3 linked regions of the Ovis aries genome follow. The protein of the gene in region 3 purifies or fractionates together with the protein of the main gene of each other region. This does not show direct contact. Links are inferred from orthologs where the notes say so. Each region holds a gene or a part of one and is shown on either strand. Other genes may lie near its edges.

Evidence for each region. The genes of interacting proteins can lie anywhere in the genome.
Region 1: the proteins of DPF2 (region 3) and SMARCD1 purify together in Homo sapiens (affinity purification with mass spectrometry; 9 studies listed by BioGRID and IntAct, counting the BioPlex papers as one, with this or other methods). This does not show direct contact. The link is inferred for Ovis aries from reciprocal best matches to the Homo sapiens genes DPF2 and SMARCD1.
Region 2: the proteins of DPF2 (region 3) and SMARCD2 purify together in Homo sapiens (affinity purification with mass spectrometry; 6 studies listed by BioGRID and IntAct, counting the BioPlex papers as one, with this or other methods). This does not show direct contact. The link is inferred for Ovis aries from reciprocal best matches to the Homo sapiens genes DPF2 and SMARCD2.

What each region holds. Positions count from the first base shown.
Region 1 is NC_056056.1:136,216,668-136,222,158, forward strand, and holds part of SMARCD1 (SWI/SNF-related matrix-associated actin-dependent regulator of chromatin subfamily D member 1), read right to left. Parts: intron 4,316-5,491; coding exon 4,180-4,315; intron 2,207-4,179; coding exon 1,844-2,206; 3' UTR 987-1,843; coding exon of another isoform or gene 885-986; 3' UTR 757-884; coding exon of another isoform or gene 703-756; 3' UTR 1-702. UniProt on the Homo sapiens protein: Involved in transcriptional activation and repression of select genes by chromatin remodeling (alteration of DNA-nucleosome topology).
Region 2 is NC_056064.1:47,806,376-47,811,739, forward strand, and holds the end of SMARCD2 (SWI/SNF-related matrix-associated actin-dependent regulator of chromatin subfamily D member 2), read right to left. Parts: intron 5,092-5,364; coding exon 4,936-5,091; intron 4,524-4,935; coding exon 4,428-4,523; intron 4,289-4,427; coding exon 4,187-4,288; intron 4,040-4,186; coding exon 3,878-4,039; intron 3,748-3,877; coding exon 3,650-3,747; intron 3,491-3,649; coding exon 3,355-3,490; intron 3,195-3,354; coding exon 3,072-3,194; intron 2,954-3,071; coding exon 2,852-2,953; intron 2,761-2,851; coding exon 2,707-2,760; 3' UTR 1,826-2,706; downstream 1-1,825. Other genes in the region: PSMC5 (26S proteasome regulatory subunit 8), read left to right, coding at 1-2, 80-310, 593-719, 807-997, 1,101-1,199, 1,280-1,390, 1,480-1,566, 1,665-1,718. UniProt on the Homo sapiens protein: Involved in transcriptional activation and repression of select genes by chromatin remodeling (alteration of DNA-nucleosome topology).
Region 3 is NC_056074.1:39,981,893-39,987,872, reverse strand, and holds the start of DPF2 (zinc finger protein ubi-d4), read right to left. Parts: upstream 3,690-5,980; 5' UTR 3,647-3,689; coding exon 3,615-3,646; intron 1-3,614. UniProt on the Homo sapiens protein: Plays an active role in transcriptional regulation by binding modified histones H3 and H4. Is a negative regulator of myeloid differentiation of hematopoietic progenitor cells. Might also have a role in the development and maturation of lymphoid cells.

The DNA of each region.
Region 1 (5,491 bases), on a different chromosome or scaffold from region 3:
TCCTCAACAGCAGCTACAGGGAGTGTGCTGGGCGGGAGCAATACTACGAGAACAAACTCTAATACTGATGTGGACCCCCTGTAAGGGAGGGGAGGAGCACTGAGACAGCAGGCCCATCTGGAGGGCTGCCGACTGACCTGGGGCACAGTGGAGCCCAAGAGCCAGGGTTCCTTTAGTGCTAGAGGGCAACAAGGGAAGGGAGAGTTTGCTCCATACCTGTGGAGGGAAGGAAGGAAACTGGATTCTGTTATCAGGAGAGCCAAGATCAACTAGCTTATAGAGTGCCCTCAGGCCTGAGTCGTGGAGAAGGGGCTATAGCTCCCAACTCCTGGGTCTCTGAAGGGCAGGATCAGTGTAGCTGGTCCCCTTGAAGACCACTTGGCCTTAGGCCCAATCCATTCAATGCACTGATTACCACTACAGGTTCTCTCTCTAATACTATCTAGAGGTCCTATGCAGACCAGGGGAGGGGAGAGGCACATGGGAACTTTGTAGGGCAAAGGGAAGCTGGGGATAGGAAGGGATGGGGTGGGAGAAGAGGAGAGCCGGTGTCACGTGAGACCCTCTTCATTCTGGTGTTGTCTTAGAACCGACAGCATCCCCTGGAAAGCCCCAAGCAAGACCAAGGCAGGTGCCATAAGGCAGGCAGCACAGGGCCCAATAAAGAAATCGGTGCAGCCAATGAGGGCTGTGGGAGAAGCCCTATGTATTTCGGATCCCCAGGGCTTGCTCTAATTCTTGCCGTCTCTGCTGCACCTAAGGAGAAAATAGTGGCGGGAGTGGAGGATGAGACAAACCACAAGTTGTTCTTGAAGCTACTGAGCCCCACCAGGTGCAGACCCCTTGCCTTTTGTCGGTCTCCCCTCTGCACCCCAGGTGCCTACCTTGGAGTAGAAGTATCGACACACAGCCTCCTGGGCCCAAGGCTGGAAGTAGAACTCTGCTCGGCGTTCCTCCTCTGAGTTACCCACCACATCAGTCATGACCTGAGACAGAACAGGAAGCGGGAGAGAGAACAGGCTTGTTTCCTTCCTTGTCATCTGTTATGGACTGAACAGTGTCCCCTAAAAGATACTGAACTCCTAACCCCCCGGTACCTGTGAATGTGACCTTCTTTGGAAATAGGGTCTCTGCAGATGATCAAGTTAGGATAAGGTCATTAGGGTGGGCCTGATCCAATGATGGGTATCTTAATAAAAAGGGGAAACTCAGACACAGAGACAGACACGTACAGAGGAAAGACAAGGGGAACACACATGGAGAACACCAGCTGCCAACCAAGAAGCACCTGAGCGACTAAAAGCCAGGAGAGAGGCCTGGAACAGACTCTCCCTCCCCACCCTTGGAAGGGGCCAAACCCTGCTGACACTGTGACTTCAGGCTCTAGCCTCCAGAACTGTGAGACCATCCATTTCCCTTGTTTAAGCCACGGGAGCCGTGGTACTTTACTAAACCACTAAAACAGCACCCCAAGCCACTCATGCTGTGGACAAGCCCCTGCCTTGTTCAGGGATCCTTCCTGGCACCCCCGTGCCCTGCTCCTCTGGCCAGGCTGGCTGCAGTCAGCACAGGACAGGCGAGAACTGAGGGCGTCTCACATACTGTGCTCACTCCTGCCTTCCTGCCTGAGCCTGCGGTGCTCCTCTCTCTGCGAGCTCCTCTCAGAGAGCACCCCTCTCTCAAATCCCAAATTCTCCAGAAAGCCTTTCCAAGCTATCCTAGTCTCACCAATCTCCCTTCTCCTTTGTTTCATCTTATTGGTACCGGTGAAATTCTGATAATGTCGCACATGATTTATTACTTTTAAAATCCCATTAGCCTGGTTTCTCAAACAGAATGGATGCTACTTTGAAAGCAGGGGCCGAGTTTTGCAGTCTGTATCCCCTACAACGTGAGCACAGTGACAGCACACAGTAAATACGAGATAAACACTTGACGGTTTCATTTCCATTTCCCTACTAGAACACGCTGAAGGAAGTCTGGCCCTTCGCCTCTCCCCGGCTCTCCACCACACGCTACAGACACAGAGCAGACATGTGCCTCTTGGGCCCAAGTCTCTCTGCACCTGTCCCCGGTTCCCTACCTTGAGGTCCCGGCACTGGGACTGTAGCCAGTCGTTGATGAAACCCTGAGGGTCTCTGGCAAAGCTCAGCATGAACTCCCGCTGGGTCTTCAGCTGATTGATAGTCTCTATTGTCTCATGGATCTGAAAGGAAGAAGGAAAGGAAGTTCGTAACATTTCCACGTTGGGGAAAAGCAAAGTTAAGTGGCAGGCAATGTATGACTTCTCCTTGTGCCACTCCCAACCAAGGAACAGAATGCAGCCCCCAAATGGCACTGCTGCCCAGGGCCCCACCTGCTCTGGCGCTTGGCGCTGTCTCTGTCCACCGCCCGTGTGTGAAGTTTTCCTTACAGTCTGCACCATGTCCACTGTGGATGACACTACATGGGAAATTTTTAATCCACAGCACAAACGGAAACTCTCAGGTAGAAAAAAAGTGGTACACAGGGCTGTCTCTGCAGCTGTGGTCCGTGGGTTTTGTTCGCTGATGCTCCACTCTCTTCCTGGTAATTTCATCTACTTGTATGTCTTCCAGCACCACTGACGGTAACGAGTCCCCAGGCTGCAGATCACAGACCATTTTCTACACTCCTACTGATGCATCTGCTTGACACCTCAAGACACCTTAAACTCCCCAAAACAAAAGCACTACCTTTTCCCAAGGCTTGCTTCTCCTGCTCCCAATCTGAATGACTACAACTGCACACTCCAGCTGAAAACCTGGAGGTCTTCATAACACCTCTTCTCCCTCACACCTCACCCCACCTCTCCATCCAGTGTCCAGATCCCTACAGTTCCACCTCAACACCTCCCAAACCTAGCTGCTCACGTCCATCCGTCCTCACGATCAGCGCCGTAAGGTTAGGCCCATAGCATACATCATGCGCATTATTGCACCATCCCCCACCTAGGCTTCCTTCCCCCAGATCTGACCCCCTTACAGTTCACCTCCCACTATCCTGCCAGTGAGCATTCTAAATAAAACAGCACCAGGCCCTCCCATTTTCAGGACAAAGTATAAACCAGTTTACCCTGCCTCAAAGCGGTTTCAGGACTAGGTTCCTGCTTCCCTCTCATTTCTTCCCCCTGGCACCCCGAGCTTTATCTAACACAGTGAAGAGCTGGTGTTTCTTCAACATGCCAGGTTCTCTGCTCATCTCTGGGCCTGCATATGCCCTGCTCCCTCTTCCTGGAATGTCCTCTGCCCCCCACACCCTCAAGTACCATCATCCTTTCTCCCCTTTTCTTGACTCCCATCAGTTCAGTTCAGTCGCTCAGTTGTGTCCGACTCTTTGCGACCCCATGGACTGCAGCACGCCAGGCCTCCCTGTCCATCACCAACTCCTAGAGCTTGCTCAAACTCATGTCCATTGACTCGGTGATGCCATCCAGCCATCTCATCCTCTGTCTTCCCCTTCTCCTGCCTTCAATCTTTCCCAGCATCAGGGTCTTTTCCAAGGAGTCAGTTCTTCGCATCAGGTGGCCAAAGTATTGGGAGTTTCAGCTTCAGCATCAGTCCTTCCAATGAATATTCAGGACTGATTTCTTTTAGGATTGACTGGTTTGATCTTGCAGTCCAAGAGACTCTCAAGAGTCTTCTCCAGCACCACAGTTCAAAAGCATCAATTCTCTGGTGCTTAGTTTTCTTTATAGTCCAACTCCCATGTTGACTCCCATGTCCTTCAAGATTAGGTTGGGGCATCACCTCTTCCAAGAAAGCCTTTCTGTTTTCCTTTGTGTTCCCAGAGCCTTTCTGGCTTTACTTGCATGGACTATGTCTAATAACGTTCACGGTAATAACAACAGAAGCAGCAGCCGCCATTTGTTTTTATGTGCCAGATACAACGTCATGTCTTCACATACATTGTCTCATTTAATCCTCATAACAACTTTAGAAAAATAGGCATTATGGTTTCACAGATCAGAAACTGAGGCTCAAAGCTATTAAGAGATATAGTTAAGAATCAGAACTTATGTGCGTCTGGCTCCAACCAGCACCAGAGTGCCCAGCATATATTGGGTATCAACATATTTTGAACGAATATCAAAAATCAAAGAAGCCAAGAAGCTGTGATAGAGGGCTGGTGACACCCAACCATCCAGGCCATGGTCCCTACCTTGTTGTCTAGGGTAGCAATCTCCTGCTGGCTGGCAGTAGACAGCAGAAAAGAATTCATCTGGGTCTTCAAGGTATCATCCACTTCCACATCAATGTCATAACAAGCTGTCTTCTTCTGATCATTCGGGTCAACACTGAGGAGGAAACCAAGGGGGCCTGGTAAAGGGCTTGTTCCCTAAGACCTAATTACATAAGTCTTAGACTGAAGGGCAAGGAGTTGACTGCAAAAGGGTACCAGAGACCTTGCTGGTGTGACAGAAATGCTCTGTACTCTCCCTGCGGTGGTAGCTATAGGATGTGCACATCAGCCAAAAATCATCAGATTTTAACTGGGTGCAATATACTGCATATAAGCCTCAGTAGTAATGGTAAAAAGTCAAATGGTACAAAAGATAGCCAATGAAAAGTAAGTTTCTCCTTCCCCACAAAGAGACCACTGCTACAGTATCTTTACTTATTAAACTTAAACTGACTCTGAAAATACATTCAAGTAAACACACACCACACAAAATAAAACGTGGCCTAAATTTAACCACATGAATATAGGACAAACTAGCTTCTACTGACCCAGCGTATGGGTTGTAGGAATTACTATCAGCTGAGTGATGATGGTTCAGGGTCTAGCGAAAGGACAGCTTTACTGGAGTTAATATGGAGTAAGGGAAAGAAGGCAAAGACTATGTAGAGCCAGAAGGCATGGTGCTCTGAGGAGAAAGTGCCTTCTTTCACTATCTGCCTAAACATGCCTTGTTCATCCATCTTCTGAACAGAAAAGCAGACAGAGGTAATGGGAGTTGGAGTCTCAGACTGGAATGTCCTACCACCCAGAGAAAAGACAGGAGTTCATCAGTGATGAGCTGATAAATTCTAATAACTGATTCTCCAAAAGAGAAAAAGAACGGTAAGAAAAAACCCTGACTTGGAGCATTTGCTAATTTCTGTGTTTTAAATATTCTCCACACGGTTGATTTCAAGATGCTGACATTATATCACTCATCGAGGAATTGGGAAGGGATGTGCAGTAACACATCATTAGACAGTATTTCCACCACACAGACACAAGAGACAGAAGTAACTTCAAAAACACACACCAGTATGTGTATGTCAGTTGCTCAGTCGTGTCTGACTCTTTGAGACTCCACGGACTGTAACCAGCCCGGCTCCTCTGTCCATGGAATTCTCCAGGCAAGAATACTGGAGTGGGTTGCCATTCTCTTCTCCAGGTATTTTCCTGACTCAGGGATTGAACCTGGGTCTCCTGCATTGCAGGCAGATTCTTTACCATCTGAGCCACCAGGGAAGCCCAAACA
Region 2 (5,364 bases), on a different chromosome or scaffold from region 3:
ATGTGAGTGCAGCCCGGGAGTTGGGAGGTGGGGGTCAGCTCTCACCACACCACTTCCTGAACCTCTGTCCCTTGCCCAGGTGACACCCAATTGCCGGGTGGCCCTCAGAAATGATAGCTACACTCTGCACAAGATCCTGCCTAACAAGGTGGACCCACTGGTGTCCCTGATGATGGTGGAGAAGGTGCCAGACTCAACTTATGAGATGATTGGTGGACTGGACAAACAGATCAAGGAGATCAAAGAAGTGATTGAGCTGCCTGTGAAGCATCCTGAGCTGTTTGAAGCACTGGGCATCGCGCAGCCCAAGGTGAGCAGGGCTTCTGTGCCAGGGCCATGCTGCTACTGTACACTTGCCCCAGCCGGGTAGACTGGAGCTTGCTTCCACTGGTCCTGCTCACCCAGGGGCTGGGGGAAGAGACGCTACCAGGCCATCAGATAGTTTGGGTATAAGCTCCAGAAAGGACTTTGACATTTACTTTATCTCTAACGTCTAACGTGAGATTTGGCACAGTGCAAACACTCAATAAATGTTCCTTGAATGAAACATGGGGGCCAGCTTCCTTCCCTGAGCCCCACCCTTGCTCTCTAGGGGGTACTGCTGTATGGACCTCCAGGCACGGGGAAGACGCTGCTGGCCCGGGCTGTGGCGCATCATACAGACTGCACCTTCATTCGTGTCTCTGGCTCTGAATTGGTACAGAAATTCATCGGCGAAGGTAACTGTGGTCAGAAACATGAAACTAAGCGGGGGTGAGGGGGCGGAACTCGTTGGCTTATTGACACCCTGCTTGGTCTCTGCACAGGGGCGCGGATGGTGAGGGAGCTGTTTGTCATGGCCCGAGAACACGCTCCATCTATCATCTTCATGGATGAAATTGACTCCATTGGCTCCTCGAGGCTGGAGGGGGGCTCTGGAGGGGACAGTGAAGTCCAGCGCACTATGCTGGAGCTGCTCAACCAGTTGGATGGCTTTGAGGCCACCAAGAATATCAAGGTACGGTGGGGTCGGCTTGGGGAAGGACCAAGGGAAGGCCCTGGGTGAGGTGCAGCCTGCCTTAGGAAGGGCTTAGCTGACGCCACCTGCTTTGTCCACTCAGGTTATCATGGCAACCAATAGGATTGACATCCTAGACTCGGCGCTACTCCGCCCAGGGCGCATAGACAGGAAAATTGAATTCCCACCCCCCAACGAGGAGGTTTGTAATAAGCAGCATTGGCAGCAGCCCCAGCTGTGGCGGTAGGCCCTGGGCTTAGGCTTTTCCCCTCCCATCGCTAGGCCCGGCTGGACATTTTGAAGATCCATTCTCGGAAAATGAACCTGACCCGGGGGATCAACCTGAGAAAAATTGCTGAGCTCATGCCGGGAGCGTCAGGGGCTGAAGTGAAGGTAACAGGAGTGCCCAAGGGAAAGGGGGCAGAGGCAGGAAGCACTGGGTTCAGGGCACAGCGGCATCTCCCCCTTCTTTCCCTGCTCAGGGCGTGTGCACCGAGGCTGGCATGTATGCACTGCGGGAGCGCCGAGTGCACGTCACGCAGGAGGACTTCGAGATGGCAGTAGCTAAGGTACAGGGCCACGCCTTTCTGCCTTTGCTGGTGGTGACTCGAGCAGTGGGGTCGGGCACGTGTTCACTGGGTCTCTAACTCAAATGTTCTCTCTCCAGGTCATGCAAAAGGACAGTGAGAAAAACATGTCCATCAAGAAACTATGGAAGTGAGGCAGACGTCCTTTGTGTGGATCCCTCAAATAAAGCTCTACCGGTCAGGACCTTGAGGACTCGAGTCTGTTAATCAGCAGCTGCACTGTTCAATCACCAGGTCTAGGTACCACCAATAAACAAAGATTTATTTGGAAATTTCCAAACCTGCCAGAAGTGGCGTTTGCCAAGCCCTCGGCCCACCCTCCTTAACAGGCTCCAAAGAGCAACAATAGTCCTCCCCATCTCCCACTGCCCTCCACCGAGCACACACACACCCACGCCTCAGGCCACGCCAGAGAATTAGGGTGCCCTCTCCCTAGGAGGCGTTACCCTGGGCCCAAGAACTGGGGTGACAGCCCTCTGGCATCGCAGGAGATGATGGCGGCCAGAGCCGCTTGCATAGATTGAGAAAAGAAAATAAGGGACCCCCCAAGTAGGGCTCCCTGAAAACCCCCAACACACCCCCATAAAAAAAGTGGCTCCCGCATAGAAAATCCTGCTCCACAAATAGTGCAAATAACCCGAAGGAAAGGAAATTACCAGCAGCAAGGCTGGGCTGGTAGGAATGGCAAAGAACTTTGGTTTGGAAAGGCTAGGAAGAAAGGGAGCCATGCTCCTCTTCCTCACCCCGCTCCCTGGAGCCAGCGTGGACACTCGCCCCAAGGGGGTCTGTAAACAAGCAAAGCCAGGGGCCTCTGGTTCCAAAAGGTCTCGGTTAAAATGTCAAAGCAGAGCCTCCAGGTCCTTCTCAGGCCTGCCTGCAGGGGGCACAGGAGGCCTCTCGTGAACCCAGTTAAAGCCAATGTGTAAGTAAGAAGGCTTTGGAGGACCAAGCAACAAGGAATCCTATCACTACACTTAAGAAACTAAAGCCGGGGAGCCGAGGGTAACTGGAGATGCCCCTCACCCCCTCGTTATCCTACGTGTCTGCGCCCCAGAGGGTGGTCCCCTTCCAGGCTGAGGGCGTGGCTCCAGGCTGGGAAGAAAGGAAGGGGTCCCTGAGCAGTTAGGTCAGGCGGATTCCCAGCACCTGTTCCAGTTCCTGCCTTCGCTGCTGCACCTGGAGCAGGGACAGACCAGCGGCTCAGGCCCGGCTGCCCACCCTGCCCTCCGGTATGCCCTCCAGGCCAGCCAGGGCAGAGCCGCCTCACCTTGGCAAAGATGTGCCTCCCTACTGCTTCCTGGGCCCAGGGCTGGTGGTAGAAAGCTGCTCGTCTCTCCTCCTCCGGGTTCCCAGTCACATCAGTGATGATCTGTAGAGCACCAGGAGCAGAGCTGAACGCAATTCCCACCCCTGAGCCAGAAGAACGGTGCTGGGGACAGAACCCCCAGAGCTTAACGTGGGATCACCCTCAGGAAAAAGGGGCACACCTTGAGGTCCCGGCGCTGGGAACGGAGCCACTCCTGGATGAAGTCCTGGGGGTCAGTGCTAAAACTGAGCATGAAATCCCTCTGGGTCTTCAGCTGGTTGATGGACTCAATAGTCTCGTGGATCTGGGCAAAGGGGTACGTGTCAGACTGGCTCCCACCCCGACAAGGTCTGCTTCCAGCCCCAACCCGAAAGGACTCAGGTCCCATCCCAAGGTGCTATATAAATGGAAATGCCCGACACCTGCCCATGCTCACTGGGGGCCCAGAGGAGGTTGGGGCCCACCTTGACATCAAGGGAGGCGATCTCCTGCTGATTGGTGGTAGAGGCCAGAAAATTGCTCATCTGGGCCTTGAGCGGGTCATCCACCTCCACGTCAATGTCGTAACAGGCTGTCTTCTTCTGGTCGTTAGGGTCCACGCTACACGGCACACGGGAGAGAGCTACTTCCCTCCCGCCCGCCCGGGGCAAGACCACACACACCCAGGGAGCAAGAAACCAAACGTGCTGCTTTGCTTTGGCTTTAATTGAAGTCAAAGGCAAACCCCTGAGAGCAGCGTTCCTCCCCCTTCCCGTTTACCTGATGACGTGGTTGATGACAATCGGGTCTGGATGCTGCAGCAACCCTGCCAGCTTCATGGGAATCTCAGAGAAACGTAGTCGGCCACAGCTGAAGATCTGGGGAGGGCGCCAGAGGGTCGGTGACGCCCTGGTGGGCACATGGGGAAGTGGCCCGTCCCGGGGCGGTGTGGCGCCACAGGCAAGGCGGGCGGGGGCTGGAAGGGGAGGGGGCGGTGTGCCCGCTTACCTGGCGGAAGTAGCGGTTGCAGTTGATGTACTCGCGCTCGTGGCCGTCCTGCAGCTGGTTGTGTTTGATGTAGAGCCACAGGGCCTGCATGATGGCAGCCCTCGTCTGCGTGTGCACCCCCAGCAGCCTCGCCAGGCGGGGGTCCAGCTTGTACTGTGGGGGCTGGCATGGACAGACGGGAGTCAGAGGAGGGAAAAAAAAACCCAAAGCAGGCTAGGGCAGGGACAGGAAGGGTTTCCAATGGGCACCTGCCCCCGCCCCAGATGACAGTCCCCGTGAGCCCAGACGTGGCCTCAGGGCACTCGTCACCTGATGATCCAGCATGAGCAGGAGGGTGCACTTGACGTTCAGGTCTCCAGGCCGTTTCACCTGGAAGCCGTCTGTCTCCTGGGTGGTGGGCATCCGGTGCCACTGGCAGGAGGAAGGGGAGTCAAGCTCATCACCAAAGGGGCGGGCAACATACGCACCTGGCCCTGCAAGGGGACTGAGGCCATTCCTCTGCCCGCCGGGCACGGCACCCTGTGGTCCCAAGCCCCAGGCCCGCTCTCACCTCTACCAGGTGGTTGTCTGGCCCATACAGTTCCTTGTCCAGCTCGATGACGAGGCTCTTAAAGAAGGAAGAAAACTTCCGCTTCTGTTTACTAGGCTGGGGATGTAAAGGGGGTGAGACAGGGGTGCCATTGAAGGTTCAAGCCTAAGCCACATACTAAGCCCCGAACAGAGGAATATTGTTTCAGTCCTAAAGCTCAGGGTACTGAGGATTCTCAGGCCCTGAAAGAAGCAGGGAAAAGTGAGACCTGAGGCACAGAAAGGGTCCCTAGGCAGCCCCGCTGTCAGCCAGTAAAGGACCGGAATTAGCAAGGGCACCCCTTCCTCAGGACACTCTATCGCCATCTGCAGGAAAAGCACTGTAACAACCACACAAACCTCCCACCTCTGGACTGGGTGCTGTGCCCTCTCCCTCCAGCAGGATGACCCCGGAAGTGCCCAAGTGTCTGGCCCAAGTCTGAAACCCACATAGACCACTGCCCCTCCAGACACCTCCTTCCCCAACTCACATCATCCAGCAGTTTTCCCTCTACTCGGAGTTCCCAGGAAGCCACCTTGTCCCCTGCGGGGGTTCCTCCAGGGGTCCCTGTGGTTCCTGCACTGTCACCTTCTGCCTTGCTGGGACTGAATGTATTGGAAATATAGATCCGCAGCTTTCGTTTTTGCTAAAGAAAGACAACAGGTTAACTAGACAGGGACCAGCTGCTACCCAATCCTCCCGTCTGAACTCATTTCACACCCATACAGAGAGTGCTATGGGTCAGGCCCCTAGTGAGGCCCTGGGAACTGGGCGAGGAAATCTCATCCCTCACCTTCAAGGGACTCACAACTTTATGGGGAAACATGCAGTACCAAAAGGTCCAATACAGGGGCATCGGTGGTGTGACAGATCCACTGAGGGTGCTATCAGAAGTTGCTGGCTCATAGTTTAAGTGAAA
Region 3 (5,980 bases):
CACCCTTGAAGCCTACTTTCTACTGAGTACCATTACACTGATACAAAACCTGTTTGCAGAAAGGCCTATTCTAGACCCTTCTCCATTCTCACACCAACAAATTTTTTAAGAACCTTTTTGAACTCAAAAGACCTCCTTTGAAATTTGAATTTTTTAAGAGTGATTTCACTTTGACTTTTCACTTTCATGCATTGGAGAAGGAAATGGCAACTCACTCCAGTATTCTTGCCTAGAGAATCCCAGGGACGGGGGAGCCTGGTGGGCTGCCCTCTATGGGGTCGCATAGAGGACTGAAGCAACTCAGCAGCAGCAGCAGCAGCAGCAGCAGCAGCAGCAAGAGCTTTAAAAAGCTGCAAAACTGCAGTGCCAGGAGTAATCTGGTTCTAAGAAGCATGTATACAGAACCAACCTTGTTCTCATCCTTCAGGGTTTAACAAGCACAGTAATACTAGAGCTTAAACTAACACAATTCACATTTATATATTCGAGCAAACTTTTTCTTTCTTCGCACTACGTGGCTTGAAGGATCTTAAAGTTTGCCAACCAGGGATTGAACCTGTGCCCTTAGCAGTTAAAGCGCCAAGTCCTAACCACTGGACCGCCAGGGAATTTCCCTTGATTGATCTTAAAGTAAACAAACTGAGGGCAGATGATTTCTTTCCCACAATATCCTCAGCACCCATGAAGGTGTCTGGAATATCCTGACTCAGAAGTAAAAAGATCAGGCTTGGCTGCAAGTCACCACATATATGGACATTTAGTCAACCCACGTGGATCTCAGGTATGCTATTGACTAGGGAGGCTGAACTAGATAAGCTCTGACATATTCTACAAGAGGGAGACTCCAAGCATGAGAAGTTGAACACAGTAAATCTCTGTCGTTTATGTTCGTAACTCAAGCTGCAGCAACAAACCCTGCTCTGGAATCGAAGAGGGGCTTTCATGGGGCAGCCACTGAGGCACAGCTTAGAACGTTCCCAGCAACCAACAAAGACATACACTGCACGCAGGCAGTGACATCACAAGATAGTCTGGCTTGATTCAATGTGCTGTAATGACTGTAATTTGAGGTAGGCATGAAGCCTGTGCTGGAGAATAAAGAGAAGGAATAGGCTCATATTTGCTCGCCTTTAGGAGGCAGCCATGTCCTCACTAAACAGAGGAAAATTGGATAAACAAGGCTGAGTGCGGCAGCGCCTTTGTTTCTGCTGATGGAAATTGATACTGACACTGTAAGTCAGATGGAAAGAAGGGCTAGACAGGCTGAGAACTGCAAAGTCAGAGCAAGGAGGCTGGAAACTGTCGGGGGTGGGGTTGAGATATGACGAGAGATGTTCTATCAAAGCTCCGGTGAGTTAAATGGGATTTCAGAAGGTGGGGCAAACTGCATTGTGAGTGAGAGCTGATAACGAAATACAAGTTGGAGGAAGAGAGGATCTGATGAGGATAGAGCAAAAAAGAATGAGAGAGCTCTCTTAAGAATCTAAGGCTCCTACAAGAAATTTTAAGCTAACATTCTCCAGATCTTGTTACCTAACTCAGAGGATTTCAGCAACCACAGCTCTTTTATACTATTATTTTGCCCTGTAAGACCTCTTAAAGATTGTTTCAATTCTGACACCACGTTTGGGAGGGATGGAGAATTTACAAACAGGAAAATTCTTCTCCCAGAACAAGATGCAAGTCAGAAAAGATGAGCTAGTAGTCCTGACCTCAATGTAAAACCTCAGCAGTCAGAAGACTAGGCACACCGTGGTCAAGAAAAGCGTCTCTTTACAGGATGAGAATGGTACAGGAAGACTGGAAGTCTCTTTTTAAAGAGCAGGTTCTGTACGAAAATGTATTAACTGTGGTCCACAGCTCTTTACAGCTAGAACTGAGGAGTAGAAAGTTGGTTATTTATTACTGGTACTCAGGAATCAGCAGTTGGTGACCTTCACTATCTCTACAGATCTTTAAAGAGAAATAAGAAGTCAAGCTCTATTTAAACGGGCAACCCCTCACTTCCAATACTGCATGAAAGGGTTGGTGACCTTATTTCTCAGATGAAAGTCTTCCAACATAAACAATCTCACTACATAAAACTCTTAAACCTAGGCAAGTTTTGACATTCCCCCATTACAGTAAGCTTTCCAAGGTAGAAGCTTTGATTCTTTTTTGAGAGGCATGAAACCTGTGTAAAACCTCCCTTTACAATGGGACAGGGGCAGTCAACAAAGAGAAAGACAGGGAAACAAAGAAAGAACATCTGAGTCAGTATGGATAACATATAAATGGTAGATCAGCAGCGTCATTTCTAAATTGAGGGAAATGTCAGCTTGGAGAGAGTGCTGGGGAAACTGAAGTGGGTAGATCAGAGAGGAAGATAATAAATAGTGCTGGGAGTAGGGGTGGCTGAAATAGGCAGCAGGATGGAGCTGAAAGCACGTTAGGAAAAAAAAAAAAACCCACAAGGAGAAGGCACTTAGCTTAATGGAAGTGGGAAAGCATTCTCAAAGAAAAGGCTCCAGGCAGGGGGAGGGAGAGAAGCAATGTACTCTTAGAAAAAAGGCTCTTGGGAAGAGTGGGGCTCAGCCTACTACAAAGACAGTTGAGAAGCTATGTGCCCCTTAGAAGAGTTCCCAAACCTTTACCTTCTCACCCAGTCAAAATCCAAAAGCCAAGCTGCACAACTGGTCACCTCATTTTTCCTACCCCTGCACCAAGCCAAATGTGTCCATTAAAGAGCTTGCTGTATTGGCCGACGGGGGTGGGGGTGCAAGAACCCATTGGAAAACTCATTGAGATTCTTCTTCGGGGAGGAGGCTGGATTAAATCAAGTCCCAAAGCATCTTTAACTCACAGCTAACAGGCCATTCTCAGTCTGCCAAACAACCATGAACTTTAACTTTGCTTGAAATCTGCCCAGTCCAAGAGTATTGCAGAGCGAAGAAGGTCGACCCAGATGCCCCTCGGGGCGGCCAGGGCGTCCTGGACTGCGTCCGTCCAGTGCCCACTTTCCGATGGCTGGGACTGGCCGGCGCCAAGCCCCTCTTCCCTGAAGTTCTTTCCCTCTGGATCTTGCTCTTCCACAAATTCTCCCCAGGAATATTTTTGGTCTCGGGTACCTGATACTCAAGGACCACCCCACCCCCGCCCCCGCCCGCCCAGGAACGTCACGGGGCTGTTCAGAACAAAACAGCCCTGAGCGCTTAACGGCGCCAGGGCGGCCGAGCCTGCTCCTCCGGGGCCCGCTGCGGGCAGCCGACGGGGAGGGGCCGGCGGCCAGGCTTCGCGGGGGTCGGCCCCGCTCTCCCGGACGGAGGCGAAGCCCGGACCGTGTGCCGTACGCAACAAGGGCGCCATACTCTGGAAACCTTCCGCCTGAGGGAGCGCCCAGCCCCACAGGGAGGCTGCCCGTCACGGGCTCCCGTGTGCCCCCCTCAGGGCCTCCACAAGTTTCCAAAGAAGCGCAACGTCTTTCCCGAGTCTCCTGTTGCCCTCCCCTCTAGGAGTCGCAACACGGCCTCTCTGGGCACGTCCCTCTCTCCGCCTCGTCCGTTCCCACACCGCCCCCTGCTTCCAGGTCCCTTACAAGACCTCCCAGGCTAGAAGAGAAAGAAACGGCCACTCACAGCTTCACTACATTTTCCACCACGGCCGCCATCTTCCCGGCTTCTCTCCCTCAGGCCGGGAGGCCCGGAGCCCGCAGCGCGCAGGCGCTGGGACCGCAGAGGGAACCAATTTCCTTGTCTTTCTGCGCAGGCGCCACCGGGGCGCGTGCGCCCGAGAGCGAGCGACGGAGAATGAGCTTCTGGCCAGTTCTCCCCGGCCTGGCAATCCGGGGACGAATGCGCAGGCGCAATGGAGGCGGGCGCGCGCCCCGAGGCTTCTGCTCCAGTTTTGCCTCATCCTTTTAGTGAGAAGGTAGAAGCGAGAGGATCTGACCGGGTCCATAAATGAGAAGGTGAGAGGTTGGTGAGAACTGGCAAGCCCAGAGGTGGTCTAGATGGAGGTCATGCGTCCTGTTACCTCGCTGACCTTTAACCTCGTGGTTAATAACCCTTTGCCCTCACGTACAGACTCAGGGGTTGGTGGGTAGCCGAAGGTAAGAGCAGTGCACACTCCTCTTGGGCTGCCCACTTTAGTGAGAGAAATATTAACTCCAAGAACCTGGCAGATCTTTGGCCTGAATATTTGGGTCTGACAAAAGTTCCCCCACCTTCCTGCCACCAACTTAATTGATCTCCACCTCTTCTTCCCTGCTTCCTACCCCTAAGCTCTTGTCCTCCTCTGAAGAACTTCTCTCCTGCAACTTCCTCTCCTGTACCATTCAGTTCTCCTTCGCTATTGAATCATGCAAATTCATCTGCAAACATGGCTTAATATCCTCTTTAAAAAATATCAGAGCCCTTCCTTAAGCCCTTTCTGCCTTTATCACCCTCTTTCTTTTCACCCTTTCAGAGCACATATTCTTGTTTATACTTACTATCCCTGCTGATTTATTTCCAAGTGTCTCTCTGCCCAGTTTAATGGCGATTTTGTTCTCATCAGTTCATTGAAACATCTAACAAAGACACCACGATCTCCATTTCAACAGATTTCGAGATCTCCCTGTCTTTATCAGCCTATCAGCCCTCATGACAACACTGGCCAGTCACTTCTTTTTCAAACTCATCTCTGAGACACACACTCTCCTGGCTGGCTGCCTATCACACTGCCAGCTCCTTCAGCTTCTTTTACTGGCTCTCTGTCCTCACATCTACCTAGACCCGTCAGAGTCCCCAGGGCTTGGTCTTTGATCCTGGTAATATGCCGTATTTCATCAATTCTAAGATGCACATATTCTCTGCCCTCCCCCCATTTTAGTATTTCGGAATCAGGACACATCTTACCATCATTGTGCCTTAAAATCAGGTTTGGCAGATGAGAGTTGAGTGGTATTTGTCATTGTTTACCCTGCACCAAATTTGCAGAATAGATGTCAGCAGCTTGGAAGGAAAACCTAGGGACAATACTGTTGCACTCTTGTTCCCCAAATGATTGTGGGAATCAAAGGTGATACCAAAAGAATTCATAAGTATGTGTTTCAGCATGAATGTGAAAAGTAGAAGTGTTAGTTGGTCAGTTGTGTTCGACTCTGCGACCCCATGGACTGTAGCCCATCTGGCTCCTCTGCCCATGGAATTCTCCAGACAAGGACACTGGAGTGGGTAGCCATTCCCTCCTAAAGGGATCTTCCCAACTCAGGGATCAAACCCCAGTCTCGTGCATTGCAGGCAGATTCTTTACTGTCTGAACCACCAGGGAAGCTCCCACCCCTACATTCATAGGTTTAAGTCCTACCCACTAAGTCTGATAATATTTGGAGGTGGGATCTTTCAGAGGTAATTAAGTTTAGATGCAGTCTGAGGGTGGAGTTCTCATGGTGGAATTAGTGCCCTCATTAGAAGAAGCAGCTGGAGATCTATCCGTGAGGAAAGGCCATGTGAGGACCCAGCAAGAAAGCAGATGTCCACAAGCCAGGAAGTGGACTTCCACCAGGAACCAAATTTGCTGGCACCTTGATCTTGGATTTCCCAGCCTCCAGAATTGTGAGAAATAAATATCTGTTGTCTATGGTACTTTGTTACAACATCCTGAGCTAAGACAGTGTGTGAGCACTGAAGCTGAACACACACATACCCTCTGACCCAGCAATTCTATTCATGCATGCATATATGGAAAACCATGTGTAAGAATGATCACAATAGCATTAATTGTATTAGGCCCAAACTAGAACATTCCAAATGCCCATAGCACTAGAGTGGATTAAGCAACATGGAAAAGAACAAACTTGCTACACAACAACGTGAGTGAATCTCAAAAACGTAATATTTGAAAAAAAAGAAGCCAATTTCCAAAGAGGACATATTGTGTGATTCCATTTATATCAAATTAAATAATCATACATGCTAAACTATGGGGGCAGAAGTCAGGAAAGTGGTTCACTTTGGAAGAT